Linked DNA regions of Arabidopsis thaliana. The protein of the gene in region 1 interacts with the protein of each later gene in a pairwise test. Each region holds a gene or a part of one and is shown on either strand. Other genes may lie near its edges.

The links.
Region 2: the proteins of LST8-1 (region 1) and THY-1 interact in binary tests that used the Arabidopsis thaliana proteins (3 or more experiments, as listed by UniProt).
Region 3: the proteins of LST8-1 (region 1) and IAA1 interact in binary tests that used the Arabidopsis thaliana proteins (3 or more experiments, as listed by UniProt).

What each region holds. Positions count from the first base shown.
Region 1 is NC_003074.8:6,210,692-6,218,849, reverse strand, and holds LST8-1 (Transducin/WD40 repeat-like superfamily protein), read left to right. Parts: upstream 1-4,045; 5' UTR 4,046-4,282; coding exon 4,283-4,390; intron 4,391-4,474; coding exon 4,475-4,576; intron 4,577-4,663; coding exon 4,664-4,776; intron 4,777-4,930; coding exon 4,931-5,000; intron 5,001-5,174; coding exon 5,175-5,252; intron 5,253-5,322; coding exon 5,323-5,439; intron 5,440-5,538; coding exon 5,539-5,621; coding exon of another isoform or gene 5,622-5,625; exon of another isoform or gene 5,626-5,701; coding exon 5,702-5,781; intron 5,782-5,860; coding exon 5,861-5,920; intron 5,921-6,000; coding exon 6,001-6,107; 3' UTR 6,108-6,265; downstream 6,266-8,158. Other genes in the region: RACK1C_AT (receptor for activated C kinase 1C), read left to right, coding at 6,479-7,357, 7,640-7,741. UniProt on the Arabidopsis thaliana protein: Component of TORC1 complex, which is an essential cell growth regulator that controls plant development. Acts by activating transcription, protein synthesis and ribosome biogenesis, and inhibiting mRNA degradation and autophagy.
Region 2 is NC_003071.7:7,078,840-7,087,690, forward strand, and holds THY-1 (thymidylate synthase 1), read right to left. Parts: upstream 6,027-8,851; 5' UTR 5,688-6,026; intron 5,657-5,687; exon of another isoform or gene 5,573-5,656; 5' UTR 5,495-5,572; coding exon 5,073-5,494; intron 4,979-5,072; coding exon 4,597-4,978; intron 4,520-4,596; coding exon 4,475-4,519; intron 4,336-4,474; coding exon 4,270-4,335; intron 4,184-4,269; coding exon 4,122-4,183; intron 4,035-4,121; coding exon 3,960-4,034; intron 3,872-3,959; coding exon 3,706-3,871; coding exon of another isoform or gene 3,661-3,705; exon of another isoform or gene 3,632-3,660; coding exon 3,401-3,631; intron 3,310-3,400; coding exon 3,199-3,309; 3' UTR 2,924-3,198; downstream 1-2,923. Other genes in the region: AT2G16365 (F-box family protein), read left to right, coding at 1-342; AT2G16380 (Sec14p-like phosphatidylinositol transfer family protein), read left to right, coding at 7,133-7,151, 7,244-7,496, 7,852-7,951, 8,058-8,324, 8,416-8,493, 8,572-8,723, 8,817-8,851. UniProt on the Arabidopsis thaliana protein: Bifunctional enzyme. Involved in de novo dTMP biosynthesis. Key enzyme in folate metabolism.
Region 3 is NC_003075.7:8,356,811-8,363,812, reverse strand, and holds IAA1 (indole-3-acetic acid inducible), read right to left. Parts: upstream 2,818-7,002; 5' UTR 2,632-2,817; coding exon 2,474-2,631; intron 2,382-2,473; coding exon 2,033-2,381; 3' UTR 1,780-2,032; downstream 1-1,779. Other genes in the region: AARE (acylaminoacyl-peptidase-like protein), read right to left, coding at 71-268, 349-573, 655-958, 1,077-1,258, 1,555-1,688. UniProt on the Arabidopsis thaliana protein: Aux/IAA proteins are short-lived transcriptional factors that function as repressors of early auxin response genes at low auxin concentrations.

The DNA.
Region 1 (8,158 bases):
CCTGAAGAAAGTTTCCACCCAAAGTAAGCTTCTCCACGTTGTGCAACTTTTCCAACATCTTTAACAGCGTGACTTGAAGAAAGTCAGCCTTGATGGTTTTAGAAAATGAGTCAATGCAAATGTTAAGTTTAGCTTCCTTCAGTGATGAGACATCAACAAGACTACATGGTAATTTAGAGTTTCTCAATCTGAGACAATGGGTATGTGGAGCCACAATCTGCATTGCCGTTAGCTCGGGAACCCAAATGTTACAGTTTATTTCTAATGTTCTCAGGCGCAGTGATTTGCTGAGATCAAGAACCCTTAGTCCACCGCAGTGATCTAGTGTTAAGCTCTCGAGAATTGGACAACCAAATAGAATGTTAGCCATGGATTCATCAGAGAGAAGACAAGTACTCAAGTACAACTTCTTCAGCATATGGCAATCATCGTATCAGAAAAGTCTAACACAACAGTGAGTTGCTTGAGAGATGAATTGATGTGGAAGAAATCAGGAAACTTAAACTTATTGGCAACTTGATTCCAGAGATCCAGGGACAGATGATCCACGTTACGGGACATGGCGAACTTGATCCAACTTTCTAAGTGGGGAACATTGTTGATCAAGCTGGTATGGAGGTGAAAACGCATCATCTTGGAAGCTGTATAGCGAGTTAGGGTTTCGTCTATAAATGGAGCCTCCAGTCTGTAATCATTAAATGAAAGAGAAGGTGTATCACACCATACATGTCTCCATCGTTTTGACAAGAGGGAAGTTGTGATGGCGAGTTTGGTCGGAATAAAGGAGAGGATATGTTGGAGGATCACATCAGGTAAAGAGCTTATTGAGTCTACTGCTTCTTTGATTTTCCGCCGATGGTAATGACGACCGTAGCGGTGGCTAGGGACTCTTACACCGGGGGTTGCGCTGTCGTCGGCCATCTTGATTTTCTTAGGGTTTATTATCAACGAATGGTAATGTTTTGAAGACCCATTATATATTTTTTGATATTCCAACTGAAACCAAAATCTTATCAAACCAACCACATAACAGTTTTATTTAGTTCTAAACCTAATAAACCAGAAAATCCAAGATAAGGAAGAAAAAAATCTAAACCAGAAAACTAAATTGGAGGATCCATAGATATTGAAATCATATACTAGAGTTTTTTTCTCCTCTTTAGTTACAAAACAAAACCGTCAGTCTGTAATAGCTCGGTACATACAAGCCACCAAAAATGGATTGCTTGCCAAACTTGTTAGGAATTGGACTGCCGCATTTTGCACAAGTACGCTTCCCTTGACCAATCCACTTCTAATGCACATTTTGCATTAGTTACAAAACACATTAGAAGTGGATGGGCCAAGAAAACCATACTTGAGCAAAATACCAGATCCAGTTCCTAACAAAAATGGCAAGCAAGCTACTTTTGATGTTAGTATAAATATCAAACTTGCATAAGTTTCTCAACTAAATTGTCTTATTTCGGCAGTCATTATGCTATTTTATTTCTCACACGACAAAAAAATTCGCAACTCCAACTTCAATCCACCTAAACAAAACTCCTTCGCTAGATCACTGATTTAGCCGAGATCAAGTGCTTCGTTTAAATCTTTTCATAAGCTCCACAAAATCTCCAAATGCTGCATATATGAAAAGATTAGGCAAAAATTAATGCATAGCGTTTTAGTAGCGTTTACGTTTTGATAGGTACCAGACAAAAGGGAAAAGAAAGAATGGTTTAATACCGTTGTCGGAGTCATGAGGTCCAGGAGAAGCCTCAGGGTGATACTGAAGAGACATGACATGCATTGCCGGAAAAGAGAGACCGGCGCAACTTCCGTCGTTGAGATTGACGTGAGTCACTTCCACGCCGGTGGGAAGAGAAGCTGGGTCCACTGCATAGTTATGGTTTTGCCAAAATCCGCACAAACAATATCAATCAAAATCTTCAGCAGACACAAAACAGAGACGTCTTTTTTTTAGTTTACTGTACTAGGAAGTGAGAAGCTGAACTCGACAGCCATGTAACAACAAGTTCTCAGAGTTACATATATAAGTATATAACTAAGTTTTGATTAATAATTTTTATTTTCCCATCATATTTGTAAACTATATTAGAACTGAAAGATTAGACTGTTTAATCTTGTGTGGTTATAATCTATAGATAGTAAATGGAGCATACCTGAGCACTGATCTCGACATGGCCGGTTCTGTTGTTACGAACTGGATGGTTTCCTCCATGATGACCAAATTTCATCTTAAAGGTTTTACCTCCAAGAGCTTGTCCAAGTAACTGATGACCCATACAGATTCCATAGACAGGAACTTTTCCTAGAAGCTCTTTAACCGTCTCAACTGCATAAGGCACTGCAGAAGGATCTCCTGGACCGTTGCTGAATAGAATCCCGTCTGGTTTCATTTTAAGCGCCTCTGCAGCTGGCCATGTCGATGGGACAACTGTGATTTCACAACCGTATGATGCCGAAATCATATGCAATAACCTTTTGAAGTGGAAGTATGAAAACAGAGTTAGAAGCTAGTGAGGAAATCCCGTCTTAGAATGTTTTGCTTGATCCCGAAATCATATGCAATAACCTTTTGAAGTGGAAGTATGAAAACAGAGTTAGAAGCTAGTGAGGAAATCGATGAGAATGTAAATTAGAGAAGAGAAAGTACAACTCACTCTGTAGGATTCCCTGTGACGTGAGGAGGTTGTCTTAAACTCCCATTCAGGATTTGTTTTTTCAACCCATTCGTAGGGAGATTTACAGGAAACATCGCTTATTAGATCAAGGCCTAAAATATTCAACCAAGCAGATAGACAGAGCTCAATCACATATTCCACGCTGATCATATTTTAAGGAGGGCAGTGAAAGAATTCAGACCTACTATATCCCAAGAGCGGGACATATGCAAAAGTTCCTCGTCGGTTTTGGATCCATCAGTGCTAAGCACACCGTTAAGACTGCCGCTTTCTCTTAATCGACGGGTTATTGCCCGTGTGTCAAGATCATCTGGTAGGATTAAAATGAGTAATGTTCTAAACCCAGTTATAATATCTAGAAATCTAAATTAGAATCTAAAAAAGAATCTGACCCTGTCAAAGAGGTGTTAAATACCAATTCAGCAACACGGGTTCCAGAAGCACCAAAAGACTTAGCTGACCAAACAGAGCCATCTTCTAACACTAGCCTAGCATTGTATGAGCTCCATGGTTTCTCTAAAAAACCTACAAAACCGGTAAAACAAGGAATTCACTGTTAGAAACAGAGATGATAGAACAGAGGTTAAGAACTGTTTAGCTGAATGATACTTAATTCTGTGAATGACTTTCAGATGTCTCTGATATCTCTGATAATTTCTCACAAATGAGACTACATGCTTATATAGAAAAGAAATGTATCTGCACCCATTAAACCCATGGACTCATTATGTCCTACAAACATAAAAATAAAAACCCCCAAATTTATTGTAAAACCAAAACTGACAAATGTGTCTTAACACACATTAACTCCCCTCTTTACTCTTGTTTGAATCACATTTCAACATTCACACACATTTTCAGCTCATCCAAACTAAAAGAAACAATAACCAAAACGATGATTAAGGCACGAATCAAGAGCCTACAAGTAATCTGAAAAAATCATATATATACATAACATTTGAATCGAAAGCCAATTCGAATCTAAAGTTCTGGGAAAAAATCAAGCTGTGAAAATACGGAAATGGGGAAATCGGCGAGCGTTACCAGATGCGGTGCCTGTAGAGGTGACTGAAGAAATGGAACACTTGACGACGGAGAGCCTAACTCCTCCGCGACGGTTCAATGACGGCTGGATGAAGAAGCCCGTCGGCAAAACAAATTCCAGAGCTTTCGTAGCCGCCATTGTTGCCGTCTCTAAAAGCTTCCAAGGAGTCTCAGCCGTTATGTCTGTCAGTGAAGTAGTGAACAAATAGTTGTTCTTTATATTTTCTTATTACTTTTCATAAATAACAAAATAGCCCTTTACTTATTTTCGTATATTTAAATAAACCCCAATAGATATATATTTATACTAAAACCTCCCCGCGTTAATTAATTATGAGAAAAGCTTGGTAAAAACCCTATTTTTCTTCTTCTCTTCAATTTACAGTTCTCTGCACCTTTTTCTTTCCCCTGTTTTTTGATCCTCAATCACCAAACCCTAGCTTGTTCTTCTGTTGATTATTTCGAAAAGGGGGTTTGTTTGTTTTCTGGGAATCAGCAAAAATCACGAAATGGTTGGTTTAATATTTCAATCGGGATAAAATCGATCGAAAATGAGTCAGCCTTCTGTGATTCTTGCTACGGCTAGCTATGATCACACCATCCGATTCTGGGAAGCCGAAACTGGTCGCTGTTACCGTACCATTCAGTATCCTGATTCGGTTTGTTTCTCTCTCTCTCTCCCTTGATTTTGTGAATTCTGAGTAATTAATAAAACTGAGACAAATTAATGTTTGTAATTGCAGCATGTAAATAGGCTTGAGATAACCCCAGATAAGCATTATCTAGCTGCAGCTTGCAATCCTCATATTCGACTCTTTGATGTCAATTCCAATAGTCCTCAACCTGTAAAACTCCTCTCTTTTTTTCTCAATGTGGTGTTTGCTTCCTTCTACCTGCTTGAGTGATCTTGATGGAGTCGTCGTGTGTATTAGGTGATGACTTACGATTCACACACCAACAATGTTATGGCAGTAGGATTTCAATGTGATGCAAAATGGATGTATTCAGGATCAGAAGATGGCACAGTTAAGATCTGGGACTTAAGGTATATCATGTCATCTTCATCTTTAGCTAAAAGTTTATAGATTTATTCAAGTGTGGATTCTGGGAAAGGATAAGGAGATATTGAATATAAAGTTACGAAAAATACTAAGAACGTTCTAAATTGTATTCTTGTTGACTCGTAAACCAAAATGCAGGGCTCCGGGTTGCCAAAAGGAGTATGAAAGTGTTGCAGCGGTTAATACAGTTGTTTTACACCCAAATCAGGTACATGAAGTCATCTGTTATTGTTGTGCTGTGGGAATCAGCTTCGTTTTATGTTTAAGAGAGTTGTTGTATTGCTACTGTTGAAACTGCTGTGATTTTGGTAGTTGTCTCAGCTGTTATTATGAACTATTTCCTTAGTCTTTATTATGAACTTTGTTTTTTTTTTTTGTACAGACTGAATTGATATCTGGAGACCAAAATGGAAATATACGTGTATGGGATCTCAGAGCAAATTCGTGTAGCTGTGAACTGGTAATTGCCTTTGACACGTCTTCATTTCATTTCTGAAAATCCGTAGATAATCACTTGAGGTTAACTATAGGTACCAGAAGTTGATACAGCTGTACGGTCTTTAACTGTTATGTGGGATGGGACAATGGTAGTCGCTGCTAACAACCGTGGAACATGTTATGTATGGCGCTTGTTGCGTGGAAAACAGGTAGTGTTCCTGATATGCAAACCTTTCTTTTGTTTAACCATGTTGTAGTCGCATTACTCTAATTGTCCATGCCATTTAAAAATTCAAAATCTTTTACAGACAATGACAGAGTTTGAGCCCCTTCATAAGCTGCAAGCTCATAATGGCCACATCCTTAAATGTCTCCTCTCTCCTGCAAACAAGTAACATGTTTCTTATACTTTCTCTTTTAACCGTTTTCTTCATCCTCTCCTTTTCGAAGCTCTTACATATTTGTTAGCAGATATCTAGCGACTGCATCATCTGATAAAACTGTCAAAATATGGAACGTCGATGGTTTTAAACTAGAGAAAGTTTTAACAGGTATGTTCTCCATGTTACTGTCAACAGCATTCATTCTCCATTATCGTCTCTTACACTATCATCAAATCTTATATAACAGGACATCAAAGATGGGTTTGGGACTGCGTCTTCTCAGTGGATGGAGAATTTCTTGTAACAGGTACTAATCTCTGTCTTAACTTAAACCACTGAAAAACATATCAGAACAATCTTTAAACGGGTTTCTATGATGTTGTACAGCATCATCGGACATGACGGCTAGATTGTGGTCGATGCCAGCAGGCAAAGAAGTGAAAGTGTACCAAGGTCATCACAAAGCCACTGTGTGCTGTGCACTTCACGATTAAAACCTTAATAAGAATCAAAGCTAAATTATGAACAAACTACGATTGTGTTATTTGTGTTTTAGTAAACTCTTGTACATTTCAATCGAATTCGTTCAAATTGCTCTTATGTTCCCTCTCTGATCAAACATTTCTCAACTATATCACAACAAAAATGCTCCAACAAAATTTATTTCAGAAGAGGCCCATTTATACCTGACTCGGAAACTCCGGCCCAAATGAGCCAGTCTCCTCGCAGAAACCACACTAAACCCTAATTTGATTCATTTTTAGACCTAGAGTATAAATACCAAACATTTCAATCGACCTCGTAATCTCTCGCTCTGTTACGCCATTTTCGTGAGTAAGAAGAAGAAACCCGAAAACCTCAAACCATGGCCGAGGGACTCGTATTGAAGGGCATTATGCGCGCCCACACCGACATTGTCACGGCCATCGCTACGCCGATCGACAATTCCGACATCATCGTCACAGCGTCGCGTGACAAATCCATCATCCTCTGGAAACTCACAAAGGACGATAAGTCTTACGGTGTTGCTCAGCGTAGGCTCACAGGTCACTCTCACTTCGTGGAAGATGTTGTTCTCTCATCGGACGGTCAGTTTGCACTCTCCGGAAGCTGGGACGGTGAGCTCCGTCTCTGGGATCTTGCCACGGGAGAAACAACTCGTCGATTCGTTGGTCATACGAAAGATGTGCTCTCTGTTGCATTCTCTACTGATAACCGGCAGATCGTGTCTGCTTCTCGTGATCGTACGATTAAGCTTTGGAACACACTTGGTGAGTGTAAGTATACCATCTCTGAAGGTGATGGTCACAAGGAATGGGTTAGTTGTGTTAGGTTTAGTCCTAATACTCTTGTACCAACTATTGTATCTGCTTCTTGGGATAAAACTGTGAAAGTTTGGAATCTCCAGAACTGTAAGCTGAGGAACTCTCTTGTTGGTCACTCTGGTTACCTCAACACTGTTGCTGTCTCGCCTGATGGTTCGCTATGCGCCAGTGGTGGGAAAGATGGTGTTATCTTGTTGTGGGATTTGGCTGAAGGAAAGAAGCTTTACTCGCTTGAGGCGGGTTCGATTATTCACTCGCTTTGCTTCAGTCCTAACAGATACTGGTTGTGTGCTGCTACTGAGAATAGCATTAGGATTTGGGATCTTGAGAGCAAGTCTGTTGTTGAGGACTTGAAGGTTGATCTCAAGTCTGAGGCAGAGAAGAATGAAGGTGGTGTTGGAACTGGTAACCAGAAGAAGGTACGTCATTATCTTATGATTTCACTATAGTAATTGGTTCTCTATTGATAGGTTAGTGAATGCACCAAAAGTAGTGATGAAATTATCTTTGGTTATGACAAAAAAAAAGTGAAATTTTGGTTAGAAATTGCATGTAGGAAATCTTTTCCCTTACCCATTAGCTTTGAAACTAGGAATTTTATTCTTTAAATGTTGCTCTGCTCCAAAGGTTTTGACTTTGATGTTAACATATAGGAAGAGATTGATAATGGTATCTAATGGGAATGTGTAATGAAAATGCAGGTTATCTACTGCACAAGCTTGAACTGGAGTGCAGATGGAAGCACATTGTTCAGTGGTTACACTGATGGAGTTGTCAGGGTCTGGGGTATTGGTCGTTACTAGAGACACAACAAGATGAAGAAGAAGTCACGAAATCTCCGGAAAAAAGTTTAGCTGCTTTTAATTTTTCCAGACTGCGTCAGTATTGTATTAGTCTCTCGCAAACCTCTATTTTGGCAATTTTTGTTTAATTTCCAGAAGAGAAAAAAACAATCCATTGATTATCATATCACTATATATCAAAAGGTCACGATTTTGATTACACTTACCTTCGTGATCTTCCGATTGGTCTTATTGAGGTTCAATCTTCACAATTCATCCCTATAATATATCACTCTTATCTCTTTCACCGGCCACATTACAAGCCTATTAGATTTCTAAAGCCCATGATTGGCCCAATTCAGTTAGGGTGGGTTTCTTTGTCTTCAAATTTGTAACCACCGGAAGCAGAGGAGAGTATCTTCTGAAGCATTAACCTAA
Region 2 (8,851 bases), on another chromosome or scaffold:
AGCCGTAACATGAGTTGGACTCAAGTTGTGGAGCATCCTGAAAAGTATGCATATCAAGATTTGGTTGCATTCAAAGGAAAGTTTTATGCTGTTGATTCAAGTGGAAGGGGACGGGTCTTTGTTGTCGAACTTTCTTTCGAAGTTACGGAGATCCCCTCAGTCGGAGGATCGCAACAGTCTTCTAAAGAAAGTCTGGTGCAGTCAGGCGAGGAGTTGTTGCTAGTGCAACGGTTCACACCTGTTGGGCGGCGTTATGATGAATATATATATATACATGGTTCAGAGTGTTTAGACTTGATGAAGAAAGAGGAAAGAGAAAGTGGGTTCAAGTTAATGACTTGAACGACCGAGTGATCTTTCTTGGAGCTCAGACGAATCTCTGCTGCTCAGTACATAAGCTCCCAGGTGCAAAGGAGAATTGCATTGTGTTCATTGAATCAAATGATTGTTTCATCATTGACAATGACTCAGTCCTTTTGTTTGACTTAAAAACCAGAAGAACTAGTACTGCGTTTAATGAATGCAAAGGCTACATGGGCGTGTTCGGCGCAAATCTTGAATCTTTATTGTCTTGTGGACTTGTGACCATTCGAGACCCAACGAAAAGCTTTGATTTCTGTTATGATTATAAATATTAGTCTTTTTTTTCTTCTGGATTCCAATATGACAAAACATCTATTAATATATGTTTCGAAACGCTATTATTATATTTAATATATATTATTTGTATAGTTTTCTGATTATATTCTACCAAACAAGGTGCGGTAATCGTCTAGTTTTCATGTTATTTGGGAATCATTCATTGCAATGACAAATTTTTTGTAAGAGCATTGATCAGGTCATACGAAAAAAGCTCCTTTTATTCTGATGCATACAACTTTTTTTGTATTCTGATGCATACACACGTACACAAAAACACATACAAACATGAAGTGATGAAACATAGATAACTTTTTTTATGATAAAAATGAAGATGGCCAATTGCTACATTCATAATAACAGGTGCACGTACGGAATCCATATAGTCCCACGCAACGACCATAATCGTTAGGCCCGACGTATGCCTTCCTACAGTACGCTTTGCAATTATCACATGGTACACCCTTGTTCTCGCGTTGGCACATATAAGAACCTTAAACCCACGGAAGAAAAGAACAAAAAAAAATTTGTTAGACATTTTACAATTTGTTCAAGCGTCACCATTTCCTTGGCCATATCTTAGTTTATTTCTTGCTTGATCTTGTTGATACCAATCAACTCTCGGAGGGAATTTATAAGGTTAACTTGTGAAAGAAAAATGTGGACACATATAGAAAGAAACAAAATAGAAGATAAGAGAAAATCACAGAGGCTACAAGTGTATGGTGTAGCTTCCGTAGAGTATCGCTTATTGCTCTTAATTCTTACATCACAAAAAAGTTGGTTACTTTAGTTAGGTACTTGAAAATCTGCACGTTGTGTCTGTAGTAAAATTATAATGAAATTTATTCACTTCATAGAATCATTACCTGATTTTAGCGAGTAGCTCTTGTTTTTGTGACATCACAAAGTTGGAGAATACTTCATCCGTATAAACTTTTGTGTCATCAGCTACTAACACAAGCATAGAGAATTACATTTTTAGTTTCATACCAATTAAAGTATGGCAACATCCTTATTAGTATGAACCTAACTCACACCCAAAAGCTATCTCAATGAGTGGAGGTTTATCACATACTTATATATTGCTCCACAATTTATCAAAGTCTCGATGTGAGACATATTCTAATACACCCCTCTCACGCTCAGAATTGGACATCTAAAGCGTAAAATTTGTGGGATTGGACATGCACGGGTGGTCCACAATCGAGACAAATTGAAACCTTGGGCTCTGATACCATATTAGTATGGGCCTAACTCACACCCAAAAGCTAGCTCAATGAGTGGAGGTTTACTACTTATATATTGCTCCACAATTTATCAAAGTCTCGATGTGAGACATATTCTAATAACCCTCATTTATTATCAAAAGAAACTTTTCTTTCAGACACATATAAAAGGCCTTCGGTTTTTGTCCGGAACAAAGAGAGTTTTCAGTTTTCGGTTCGAAATTGGTTTAGCAATCTGTTCAATTTGGCAGAATTTTGAATCATGTTCAGTTAGTTCAGTTCCCCTAACCGAGCGGTTGACCTTTTTTCTAAAACCAAAAACATACCAAATCGATTCGGGTTTATGGGTTTATGGATATCCGGTTTGGTATGTTTTAAACTTCGAGTTTTATGTTTTTCATTTTCGGATTGTTGCTTGCGGTTTACTCTTCAATTACTCTTGTTTGAGAACTTCTATTTGTCATATTTGTATTGTTGTTTGCAGTTTGCTATTTAGGTTTGGAATTTGGATGTTAATGTTCATTTTTTCACTCTGTTTTTTCTTGTGATTTGTCACAAATCATTTGAAACTCGGGTATTTTTCGCTGTAATGGATAATTGTTAACCAATTTTTTCGGGTATTTACCGGTTCTCAAATTGATTACCCAAATCAACCCGAATCCGAATGTACCCGAACCGGATTGGAACCGAAAATTTCATTTTCCCTTATTGGATAGTAAATCTATTACCCATTTAACCCAACCCCGAACGGGTTACCCATATGTTCAGCCCTAGTTTCTACGAAAAAACCGAGAAGTAACTGGCTTGGTCCGGTTAACCAGTTGGTTAACCGAGCTCGCAGGTCTAATATTGTGTAGTATTCGTCAATTGCCGACATAAGGCCACAAGTGTATAGTGTAGTTACTCTGCATTATCCACACCTTTTGTTTGTGTCATCAATCAATTACTTTAAACACAAGCATATGAAATTACAGTTATAGTTGTATACCAATTATAACACCACAACAGTTATAGTATATTAGAAAGATTATTTATGTATCTTGTAGACAAACTTAAAACCAAAAAGAACATAAATTGGCCAAAATCATCAAAGTTCTCATTCGATAGTTGAAATAGGAAACAATATATAAAAGAAGTATAAAATCCTAAATCGCTCTAGAACCATGTGGAACTAGAGGATTCCAACACATGTTTATGACAAGTTATCACCCACAAAAGGGTAATATGAGTCCATACATTGATGGTCATTCATCTGATTCAATCATAAATTTTACACAATCAATTTGTCGGTAGTCTCCTTTTGGTCATATCCTATAGTAAGAGATGAGAACTAAACCGCCATTTTCATTTCTATCTTCTTGTGAGGATCATAGCCTGTGAGGTCAAAGTCAGAAGCCACAAAAGAATCGATTTGTTTCTTCTCCGGGTTTATCTTCATTACCTGCAGTAGTGAGCCCATGACGACAAACAAAAACACGGTAAGGATAGGTGAATATGCATTCCTCGATGATCATTGTCGGCGATATACTTACAGGAAAGGGTTTTGGAAGATTCAGAAGTTGCTCTTGCAGAGGCCTCACGTGAGTTTTGTATACATGAGCATCCCCAAGAACATGGATAAAATCACCAGGAACAAGATCACACACATGAGCCAGCATGCAAGTAAGAAGAGAGTAAGAAGCAATGTTAAACGGCACACCAAGGCCCATATCTGCTGAACGCTGATACATTTGACATGAGAGTTCCCCTTCTGCCACATAAAACTGCAAAAAAAAAAAAAAAGTAATCAAACTCATTGTAGGAGAAACAACAGAATTAGAAGATAAAGTGGCATTACTTGTGCAAACATATGGCATGGAGGAAGTGCCATCAGCTTAAGATCAGAAGGATTCCAAGCTGACATTATAATACGCCGATCATCAGGATTGTTCTTGATTTTGTCAATTACATCTACAAGTTGATCAAATCCTTGACCAGTATAATCAGCATGCATATCTGTGTACCTGTAAAACAAGAGAAAGATGTTTCACCAAAACAAATCCATCGGAACAGAGAAGAAAAAACCAACATATGCATTGAAAAGTTACTGACTTAGCACCAAAGTGTCGCCATTGAAATCCGTATACAGGTCCAAGGTCGCCTTCCTCTCTCTCTGTCAGGCCGATACTGAAAATACGGTGGATAAATCAGCAAATAGGTCGTCAAGATCAATATTTCTTTAACCAAAAAGATAATGCAGGTTACAAATATTACCCATCGAGATACTCTCTTGACGCATTCCCATCCCATATATGGATACCTTTTTCCTGAAGGACCTGCCCATGTATAAAGTCTATCATAGATATAACCAATTCATTTGCATAGTTTTAGAGCATAGCAGAGACACTCTGGCTTAATTTACTTTTGCATTGGTTGAACCGCTTATGAACCATAGAAGTTCCTCAACAACACCTCTCCAGAAAACTCGCTACCAAAAAAAAGCAAACAGATTGCGTGAGTTTGAATATGAGCTAGTGTAGATATGCAACTGCCACTAAATACAACAGAAGACAAAGCATTCTCCTTTTGCGAGTAAACGTGGAAAGTTAAGGAAAAAGTGAGCATACCTTTGTTGTCAGAAGTGGAAAACTTCTGCGTAAATTGAATTTCATCTGTGTTCCAAGGAAATGTGAGATCATTTAACCAACTAGAGATAAACAGAATACATAAAGAAACGGATTTATATCACCTGGCAACCAAATTTTGATAATGTACCAGTCCCGGTCCTATCATTCTTCACATTGCCATTAGAGATAATATCTTCAACCATATTCAAATACAGAAACTCCTCATGCTGATCAAAAACCATCTTAGGAAGAAACAAAAACTTCTTCCCATCAAATTGAAGAGACTGTGACCCATTGCTTTCATCAGAAGATTCATCAGCAGAACTCTTTACACGGACAAAAGTCGTGAAGCAAAACCGAAGTCCATTTTCAGTTACTGGAAACGATGAAGACCAAGGCTGATAAACAGAAGTATCAATCGCAGGTATAAACGTATCACAGTCAACACTTGTATCAATCTCAGTTAAATGGATAGCATCACAACTAGGCCTATTCAATGCTTCCCTACACAAATACAACCAACCAACACTTAGTTCCAACCAACAACAAGATTCCGAATCACCAAAAGGGATAATAAATGAAAATCAACAACCATTACCTCAATATGTCACCACCTCCTATAACAAAAACCCTCTCAATAGATAAACAATACGGCGGCGCAGCTAACAAATCAAGAGCAGAATCTACACTACTACAAGTGACAACATTCTCAGTGTTGGCTATATCAAACCCACCAGAACGAGTTAGAACAACGTTAAGCCGACCCGAAAGCGGCCTATACTTAATGGGAATAGACTCCCAAGTCTTTCTACCCATCACAACAGCATTTTTCTTAGAGGAATCTGAAGTGGTCAAAGTAATGTCTTTAAAGAACTTGAGATCTGTTGGCAAATTCCATGGCAATTTCCCATCTTTACCAATACCCATTTCTTTAGTTGCAGCAACAACAACTTGGTAAGTCCTTTGAGGCTCTGAAGCAAGTGTAGTGGTGACACTGTCATTGAGAGTAGTTGTTGCCATTGTGGAAATCAAAACCTTGGAGATACTTGCAATAGATGATGATGAATTGCGATGGCTAGTACAAAGCCAAAGCAGAGACTGTGAAAATCAAACACAAGAGTCAGATTCATATGAATTAAACTATCCAAAACAATCAAAGAATCGAAATTTGAAACAAATAGCAAAAGGGTATGGAGAAGAGATCAGTACTGACCGATTTAAAGGAGAAAGGAAGAATCTTTGAGGGGTTTGCAAATACCCAAAAGAGATTATCGAAAACCCAGAAGAAAAGTAGGTAAAGGTTACTTTTTTTTTTTTTTTAGTCACGGAGTTGAAAAGGACAGGAAGAGAAGATAAGCGGGGGAGAAAAGAGGGAAACGCCGATTCGTAAAACGCTTAAAGTAGACGGACGTGTCTCTATCAAACTAAAATAGAAGATCGAAAGTAAGGGTCGGGTTTTAAAGGTAAGACCACTATCCGGACACTATCCACTACTGCGAAGTGCGAACCATGGTTTTAGATAGACCAATAGTTATTTCAATCTTTTTTGTTTTGAACATAGATTTCTTTAATTATGTATGTTGAACTTACTAATTAATATGGACTTTCTCATATTTATATGTTACTATTCCCTCTTTTCAAAATAATAGTAGATTTTTGAATGATTTAAGTAAATGACAAGTTTTCGGAGAGAAATTACAGACTAGGCATGTGATTATGGGGTATTCCGCTTTTTCGGGATAGGTAAGTTTGGTTTCTCAAGTATTTCAGAAACTGAAATTTTTACAAAAAATAACCGATTAAATTATCGGTGTAGTTTTTGGTTAATTCGGTTATTAATTTTAAAATCGAAATATTTGGTTATTATATTAAAATTTAGTTAAATTGGGAAGTCTAGTTCAAATCTAAATTGACACGAACCGAAAAGGCACCGAACATAATATAAACCAAAATTCTAAAATACCTAAATAGATCTTCAATCTTTTGAACTAATTATCCAGAATCAAAAGAAACCGATCCAAACCGAACTGATGATAATTTGGTCATGTAAAACCATTGATCCTCAATCTTTTAAACTAATTATCCAGAATCAAAAGAAATCGATCCAAACCGAACTGATGATAATTTCGTCATGTAAAACCATTGTGTAATATGTTTTCTTATGATGATAATTTGGTCATGTAAAATATGTTTTCATCTGTAAAGTGATTAAGATGATAATTTGGTCATGTAAACTATGTTTTCATCTGTAAAGTGGTGGGCTGCACTTAGTCCAAATTGGCGTCATACTCTTTTCTATTAATTATAGCATTTATTGGTACAGATACGAATCGATTTTGATATATTTCAATATTATATCACACACATGTCCATTTCCATATATTAAGAACAAACCAATTGTAAAAAACAAAAAAAAGAACAAAACCACCTTTGGACCTTATCAATAGCTTGTTAAAATGACATTCAAGTACTTTTCTACATGTCTTAATTAGTTTCAGATGATCCTCACCATTACCATCTTTCACCCTTCCTTCCTCTCAAGAACTCATCTCCAATAAGGTAAGGAAAAAAAAACACTGGTTTTGCTTCTCTTTTCCTCAATCTTATTTCTTAAACAATCTTAATCATCTTTTAGGTGTTTCATCAAAAGTCTAAACCATGGCTGACACCAAACAAGGTTATAAGTCAATGCATTTACCTTAACTAGCCATTGATACAATTTTTCCTCTTGCCTAAAATGTTAATGTAAACCAATCATGTGTGGTTTAGATATGGAGAATTCAGAGGATGGAAGGAAGCTAGTGAAGATGAGCTCGCTTAAACAGAAAGCGATAAGCGCATCAAATAGATTCAAGAACTCTTTCAAGAAGAAGACTCGGAGGACCAGCAGCAAAATTGTGTCCGTAGCCAATACAGACGACATCAACGGGGACGATTATCTGTCCGTGGAAGCGTTCCGTCAAGTCCTCGTCCTTGACGACCTTTTGCCCCCCAAACACGATGATCTTCACATGATGCTCAGGTTTTTATATTTTTCTTTAAGATCCCTACTAGGTCAAATGATGTGTTGTGGTATGAAATAAAATATCATGAAGTCAACTAATGGAAAAATTATACCAATCCAAACGAATATTTTATTTGATGAGGAGCTGGTTTAATAGATGACCAAAAATTTGGTTGTCTTAACATTATAACATTTCATTAAATCTTCATATCTTAAAAAAAAAAATTGTTCATCTCTTACAAGCGAATCAATAAATGTTTTACACTTTCATATAAATCCATAATTCATGATGAGTTTACAGCTAAATGTTACTTGTTGTAGATGATTATTGCGATTGTAATATTATGATTTATTATGTTTAATCTCTACATAGATTCTTAAGGGCGAGAAAATTTGACAAAGAGAAAGCAAAGCAAATGTGGAGTGACATGCTTCAATGGAGGATGGATTTCGGAGTCGATACAATCATTGAGGTTAACTTTTTGTCCAAGAATCTTGGAACATCTTAGACTGATCATTTATATATACACAATCTTTGACGAGTGATTTGTTTGGTTTATAATTTTTTTAATAATGAAGGATTTCGAGTTTGAAGAGATCGATCAAGTACTCAAACATTATCCGCAAGGTTACCATGGAGTGGACAAAGAAGGCAGGCCGGTTTACATTGAGAGATTAGGTCAAATCGATGCAAACAAGCTGTTACAAGCGACTACAATGGACCGGTATGAGAAATACCATGTGAAAGAGTTCGAGAAGATGTTTAAGATCAAGTTCCCTTCTTGCTCTGCCGCAGCCAAGAAGCACATTGACCAAAGCACAACCATTTTTGATGTCCAAGGAGTGGTTTGTCACATTTTTCTACCTCAATTCTTCTTTCGAAAATGTATAAATATGAAAAAATGTTTAAAACGATGTGTCATTTTTCAATTACTAGGGGCTTAAGAACTTCAACAAATCCGCGAGAGAGCTGCTTCAGCGCCTTCTCAAGATCGATAATGACAATTACCCTGAGGTAGTTTAACCTCAAAAAGCTTATTACTCGTAGGTATAGTAACAAGTAACAACGTTGTAAATAAATTATTCTTCATAGACTTTGAACAGAATGTTCATCATCAATGCTGGTCCTGGATTCCGGCTCTTGTGGGCTCCAATTAAAAAGTTCCTCGATCCAAAAACGACATCAAAGATTCATGTTCTTGGGAACAAATACCAACCCAAATTGCTCGAAGCCATAGACGCTAGGTAAGATTCTAGTCCTTAACTCAATGATATATCTTGCTTTGTATTATAACTAATTTTATACAAAAATCATCGTAATCTCGTTTTTTGTTTTAGCGAGTTGCCATATTTCTTTGGCGGCCTTTGTACTT
Region 3 (7,002 bases), on another chromosome or scaffold:
ATAAGATATTTTTTCGGAAATTAGGAATTATTAAGCTGTCTTTTAGTAGTTATAGAAGTTGCCAACTTACTTTGGTTCATCCGATGTGAACTTAATTGCGTATATGGCACATGGTCTGTTGTAGCAGTACTTAATACCAAACTTTCTTTTATCTCCTAACCAACCGGCAAAAACCAAATATTGAGCTGATCCATTACTGTTTGGACTCCAAACAACCTGTCCAACACTTATTGATCTAGGAATTCCTTTGATTGGCTCGACCTCTCCACTGTTAACAGAAAAAGAGAAACAACCATCATAAAAAGTACTGGGTAGTTGTTCTTTTCTTATGGAGAGATTGATGGAAACCTGTCAACATTGATAACAAACAGTGCAGGCTGCCTTTTTCCGGCGTATGCTTCTCCCCATTCCTCTTCCCAATCCCCTTCACCTTTCCAGCTTCCAATACCCTTGTCCAAAGAATTTTCTTTCTTGTAATAACCAAGATGATCAAATGTAGGCTTGGGACGAGATGGCTCCTCGGCGACATACGCAACATGAGTCTCATCTGAATCCCAAGAGATCCCTTCAAACCTATCATACATAAGCCTTACTCATTTTTATACTTCTACAAGAACTTGTCTTTAAAAATCAGCCAAAAACAAAGTGCCATACCATCCATCAACGTATACAGAGCCATGAACTTTCTGTGGAATATGGAACTCCTTCTCTAGCTGAGAAGAATTCCATATCTCAAACTTTGTAGGAGATTCATTTTCAGGATTTCGAATTACAAGGAGCTTCAATCCCGATGGAGATGGGACAAAAGCCGATGCACCAGTCATCTCGATGGGAAATGGCGCCCAGTGAAAGTTTACAGATTGGTTACTTTCGTTCGAAATATGACCCGACAACATAAACTTCTTCTTTTTATTAGCCAAAAGGTTTGCTTGACTCAAGGCAAACATTGCCTGAGAACCTGTAGTAAGAGCATCAAAGTGAAAACATCATTTCATTTGGGAAGATGATTTTCAACAACAAAAGACTCAAAAATCTTAATTTACAAAGTCCCAACTTGAATATGCAAAAGTGATTACCAGAATCAGAATTAAAAATCCAAGCTTTATCAATGCTGGGAATATTAATGAACTCTTGAAGTAACTTTGACTGTGTGGCATACTCTTCCTCTGTAGTTGGGTCCAAACCAACATGCAATTCTTTAGCCGAATCAGTTCCAGAAGAATCCATAGCTACAAATCTTCGAATCCAATTCTTGTAACTGAAACAAGTATCTCATAAATCACTAATGATTGCAAAACAATTCCATTAATCAGATTCATCATCCATAACTCTAAACCAATCAAGTTCTTAGTAGATATGATTGGCTTCAAATTCGTTAAAACAGAACAAACAAAAAACCAATCAAAGTAATAAACTTTCGGATTAAAAACTGTCATATAAACGATACCCATCAAAGCAATACCATCAATGATTCTCAATTCGTGGTAACACCATCAAAGTAATGAATTTTCGGATTGAAAAACAGAGACTGAGAGAAGAAGAAGAAGAGCTTACGGAGACTGAGTGAGTGAAGGAGTGATGAAAGTAGATCGGAAAAGAAGGCGACGAAGATGACGATGAGAAGAGCTCAAGTCAAATCCCAAATTGGTGGAGCAAGTTATTGGGTAGTGACTAAAGATTCTCGCCATCTAATATTAAACAAAACAAAAAAAAGTTGAAAACTTTCGATAGTGATATCCATTACATTGCCCATTTCTTAATCCAAAATTTTATATCTTTCACTATGTCCCAAACTTATGTTAGTATCAAATACTAAACTTTATTGGTTATGTTAGTATCAAATATCTTGAGCATACATATAAACTTCGTATAATCAAAACTCATCTTTTACAGAATTAACCAAAGCTAGTTTACATCTATATAACGTATTTGTAACCCTATTGCTTTTTCTTTCTTTACACCAAACTTTTTTTTATCTAAACAAAGTAGAATTTGTTTTTGCCTCGACCAAAAGGTGTTTTGAGACAATGGATCATAAGGCAGTAGGAGCTTCGGATCCTTTCATGATTCTGAGTTTTTGACAAGATGAAGAGAACATGTCCCATGGAACATCACCGACCAACATCCAATCTCCATCTTTGTCTTCATAAGTAGGTACAAATCCAGATCCTTTGTAGCCTTCTCTCTCGGAATATTCACCTACTGTGAACTTGAACATGTTCTCTAGTGCTTTGAGAAGCTCTGGATAGTTTTTGTACATCTTGAGATCTATCTTACGGAGATATGGAGCTCCGTCCATACTCACTTTCACATAACTCACGTTTTTGTTGTTGTTGTTCTTACGGTTAGATCTCACTGGAGGCCATCCAACGATTTGTGTTCTGAAGTTTACAAATCAAGATTCATTATTAGTACACCGATTGATATCAAGAAGTTTGGATATTAAAACTATAACTTTCAGATCTCAACTTACTTTGCAGGAGGAGGAGCAGATTCTTCTGTTGAGTCGTTGTTCTTGCGCTTGTTGTTGCTTCTGACGCAAGAAAGTTCTAGTTGTTGTTCTTCTTGTGCTCCGGGTAATCCCAAACGAAGCTCTGTGTCCTTAAGGTTAAGCCCATTGGTGACTTCCATATTCTCTCACTATACTTTAACGGAGAAGCTCTCTTCCTTAATTCTTGAACTACTTCTTCTTCTCTTGTTATTGCTCTTCTTGGGATTGTGATTTGATATCCTTGAAAATGCTTGTGTGTGTTGTGTAATGGTGAGGGAGAGAGAGAGATTTATATAAGGAAAGATGCTTTGAAATTAGGGTTAACGAGAGAGAGAGAGAGATATGAATTATGACGTTGTCGGGGAGCATGAGGAGGCAAGTTAGAGGCAAGGGGACAAAGGTGGGACACAAAGATTTTGGACGCGGCTTCTTTCTTATTTTCAACGGTCCTGATTTGTCTCCGCCAGTTGCGTACGCGAGATCCTAGCCGTTTCTTTCTCTTACGGTCAAATGAGTAAAGAGAAAATCATAAGAGTAAGAGAACTTCTCGACCTTCGTCCTTCTACCACACGATCACGCTAGGTTTATGTTTTGCAACTATTCGTTATTCGGATTGATTCAAGAAAATATCTAGATACATTTTGTATAGTTCAGATTGGATCATCGGATATCATAGTAGAAAAAATGAAACTAGTGTTGGACATGTTGATCATATAGATCAAGCTTTTTCGATCACCCCAGTTGTGGGGTAGTTTTCATGAAAATATTTCATTTTTGTGTAAAGGTTTGGTATATGGTAGAGTAGATGTCTAGAATAGATGATCAAATATTAATGGTCAATTTGTATCGAAGAATTAACAATTTCCTTTTATAAATATTTCGACAGTTTTTGCGTGAAAAGTAATGTTTTGTTTGCAAGAAACTATAGAACAAAATAATAGACAAAACACTGTAAAATATTATTTATTTTCTCGTAGACACATATATAAATTGTAAGTATAGGTTTGTACAATTATGATCAATAGTAAATAAATTGGGGAGGGAGATGCATGTGGATGAGGGTGAAGAGTGTTCTTAATGGAATAATGGATGCAGGAAGTATGGTAAGGCCATGTGATATGCTGTCTCAAATAACATTTTTTCTATTTATTTTATTTTAATTATTGTGTAAAATTTCATTTTAACATTTATTATAAATACAAATATCTATATGAAACTATATATTTTGTTGAAAAAGAGTTGAAAAAAATATCTAAAGAGATGATTTAAAAAAAAAAAAAAACCATTTTAAATGGGCTTTTGGGGACACGGCCCATGTGGTATTTCGAGCAAGGTAATACAATTAATCCCTTCTCGAAATTACGCATAACTATGTTCATTTAACTTGCAATTCCCATACCGCATGCACCTTAATTTGATGTTTATATTTGTGTTGGGCGTATATTCATTCCACAATCACTGTCCACTAAGAAATTTTATTGTCTATCTAGCGACAACGAGAACAAAAACTAGATCATATATGAACATATTGACAAATCAAAATGTATATGGGTTATTTTACCAATAAGCATTATCGTTTTTACAACAAGTATAAAGTAATGCTCCCTACGTTTAAAGTTTATAAGATGGTTGAACAATTTTTTGTCATTTTAGTTGTTGTTTTTGTTTTTCCATACAACATTTGTGTTTTAAATTAATAATTAGTACTCATATTATTGAACTATTATTAATCAAAAAGTTATTTCTAGTTTCTTATTCTTTTCATATTCATCCAAAACAATTTTTTTTATTAAAAAAAACATAAAGAGTATAACAAATAAAAAAGTATATGTATAAACTTGATCATGAAATACAGAGATGCTAGTCGCTAGAGGCTTGCGTGTTCAATATAAAACAAGACGTATGCTTATAAGAAGTAACATTTGTTAAATCTGTTTTGGAAATCCCTCTCATTGTGTGGGAGATGATAACATAATTGTAGAGTTTACATGCTATATAATAGTATAACGGATTTTCTGATCCCAATAGATGGATCTCCTGCAGGTAGGTGAATCATGATAATATCATTTATACTTATGTCACCATGTGTCCATGTTAACTGTTATTTTCACGCTAAACCATGTTCAACGCATGTTGATGAATATTCATTTTCTTACATATTTATCAAATATGGTGTGTAGTTTGTTCTCATATGCATATCGATTGTCAACGATACAAGAATCCATACCTAAGCTTTGAGAGTTTCGTGTGGCATGTTAATTACTAAAACCTATCAAACTCTTCACTGCAATTTTAAAAAAAAAAACAGAAAATTTTGCCTGTTTTTTTTTTCTTTTTTGGCAATCACATGTTATGTTAATACTTTAGAGCGTGCAAAATTCATAGGAATGGGGACACAATCCACCAGTAGACACTTTTAGGGTCGTTGAGCAAACAATGAACATGCCAATGCTCACTCTCAACTTTGATGTGAAATGCACTCACTTGGTTCTCATTCCTCTTACGTGTTCTCTCTTATCTTTCTCTTTGTTCTTGTCTTCTGTACTGTTTATAGATAAGAATTGACTAATTGAATTTTTTCCTTTGTTTTCTCCTTTTTTGGGGTCTAAACTAAAAGAATGGTTGCAAAAAGGTTCTTAAAATATATAAATTAAACAAAATAGTTAAATTTAAAGGTTATGCTTTAAGTTTAAGGTAAATTTTAGAAGACTATTTTCATCAAAAATGGTTAGAAAAATTTCGAATAAATTCTGTGGATTTTTACCTTTAAGGAGAACTAATAAAATATTAAGGTTTTTCTTTTAGCGAAAACGGAAACTTTTAAAACATTATTTTGCACTAATCACACTTTTCAGTTTTAATCAAAGTATATGATATACATGTTTAACTATTCACCATCTTTCGGTAAATAATAAAAATTCAAGTAATTTGAAATTATTATTCGAAATGATTATTCATTTAAAGGTATACAACTACATATATGTAGAAAAACAGATGTATAAGCGTGTGCATTTAACTTGCATTAAAAAAAACTTTGCATGTGAGATGTTACAATGTAGGTACAATTTACACTCGTGTGATGAATTCCTGACAAAATTTGGAACGTATTGAAAAGGTATGGTCCAAAATCAAATCGTAGAAAGGACAAAAAGCTGAGCCACAAAGATTTAAGTCACAATTCAAATCATTTATCTACACATACCATAACTTAAGAAATGCACGTGTGCCATCTTTAAACCACTTTTTATATACTCGGTTCAGGTTGAGTTTATACCGCATCACCGCCAACTCTTATGGGCGAAATATTCTTCGCCAGATCTCTCACCTTATCAAAGACAACCCTTATGTGGAACATACATGATCTATAAATTCTACCAAGAAAGTGTTAACTCATTATGTGAACCCTAAGAATAACTCAAAGACTGCATTTTAGCATGTCCAAACAATAGGTTCAAAGAGGTTTCACTCCTGAAGAAAAATTCATGATAAGAATTTAGATAATACCAGTAGCGATTTGGTGAACAAGATGATAACGTTGAGCGTCTGGCCGAGAATTTAGCATCATATATCAACAATCACTCAATATTACGATAGATGACACATAGTTAGGATAATGATTCACACAAAAATGAAAACGTTGAAGGATAAGGTGGATTAACTTATGAAGAATATCAAATGGTTGTTATCTACTGCGAATATTGCATAGGTATGACGAATAAAATACTTCGTTAGGTCAAAAGAATTTTCACCAAGAGGATTCAACCAAAACTACATAAATCATCCTAATAATATTTTTTACACGAGAACTAATGCCGAAAACATGCATGCAGCGTGCCTAGTTTATCCTCAGCATGAGAAGTCTCATGAACATCGTTTTCATCCTAGATTTGCGCATACTTATAATATTTTTGGCTAGGGTAACAACTTAAGTATCCATATATATTTGGGTAGTCAATAGTCATGGTCTAATTCTTTTTTTCTTTTTAAGTCCAAAGAGTAATATTGGCACCCGAAAAAACTATGTTAGAATTCGAACCCTGATGGTCAATTATACTCGAACCCAGGTGACGGAGAATTTTCTCTCCTTTACCATTGTACCAAAGCAACACTATTTATTATTAGGTGTTAGCTTAGAAGCAATAGTTGCTGAAATTTGTTCAAACGATAGATGAGTCTATCTCAAGCTAGATTAGAGGTGGAAACTAAATTATAAGAGTTTCCTTGCCATGGTTATGTCTTTCTCCATCTAGGGATGTGTCTCAAGGGCAAGTTAATTAAGAGACAATTTAATTTTGACGACGTTCACAAAAAAATGATGTGGGTTCATCTAAGGAAATTAAGCCTCATCCTCATTTATCTCGGGCAAAGCTGGTATGGCTTAAAGTTTCTATACCTAATCATTCTACTCATGTGGTTGTAGTCTACTCTCGTTGGAAACCAACGTTTGATCAATTACCTACTTCGGATCTTGATGTGGAACAAACATGTCTTCTTAGTTCTTAGGGAGACTA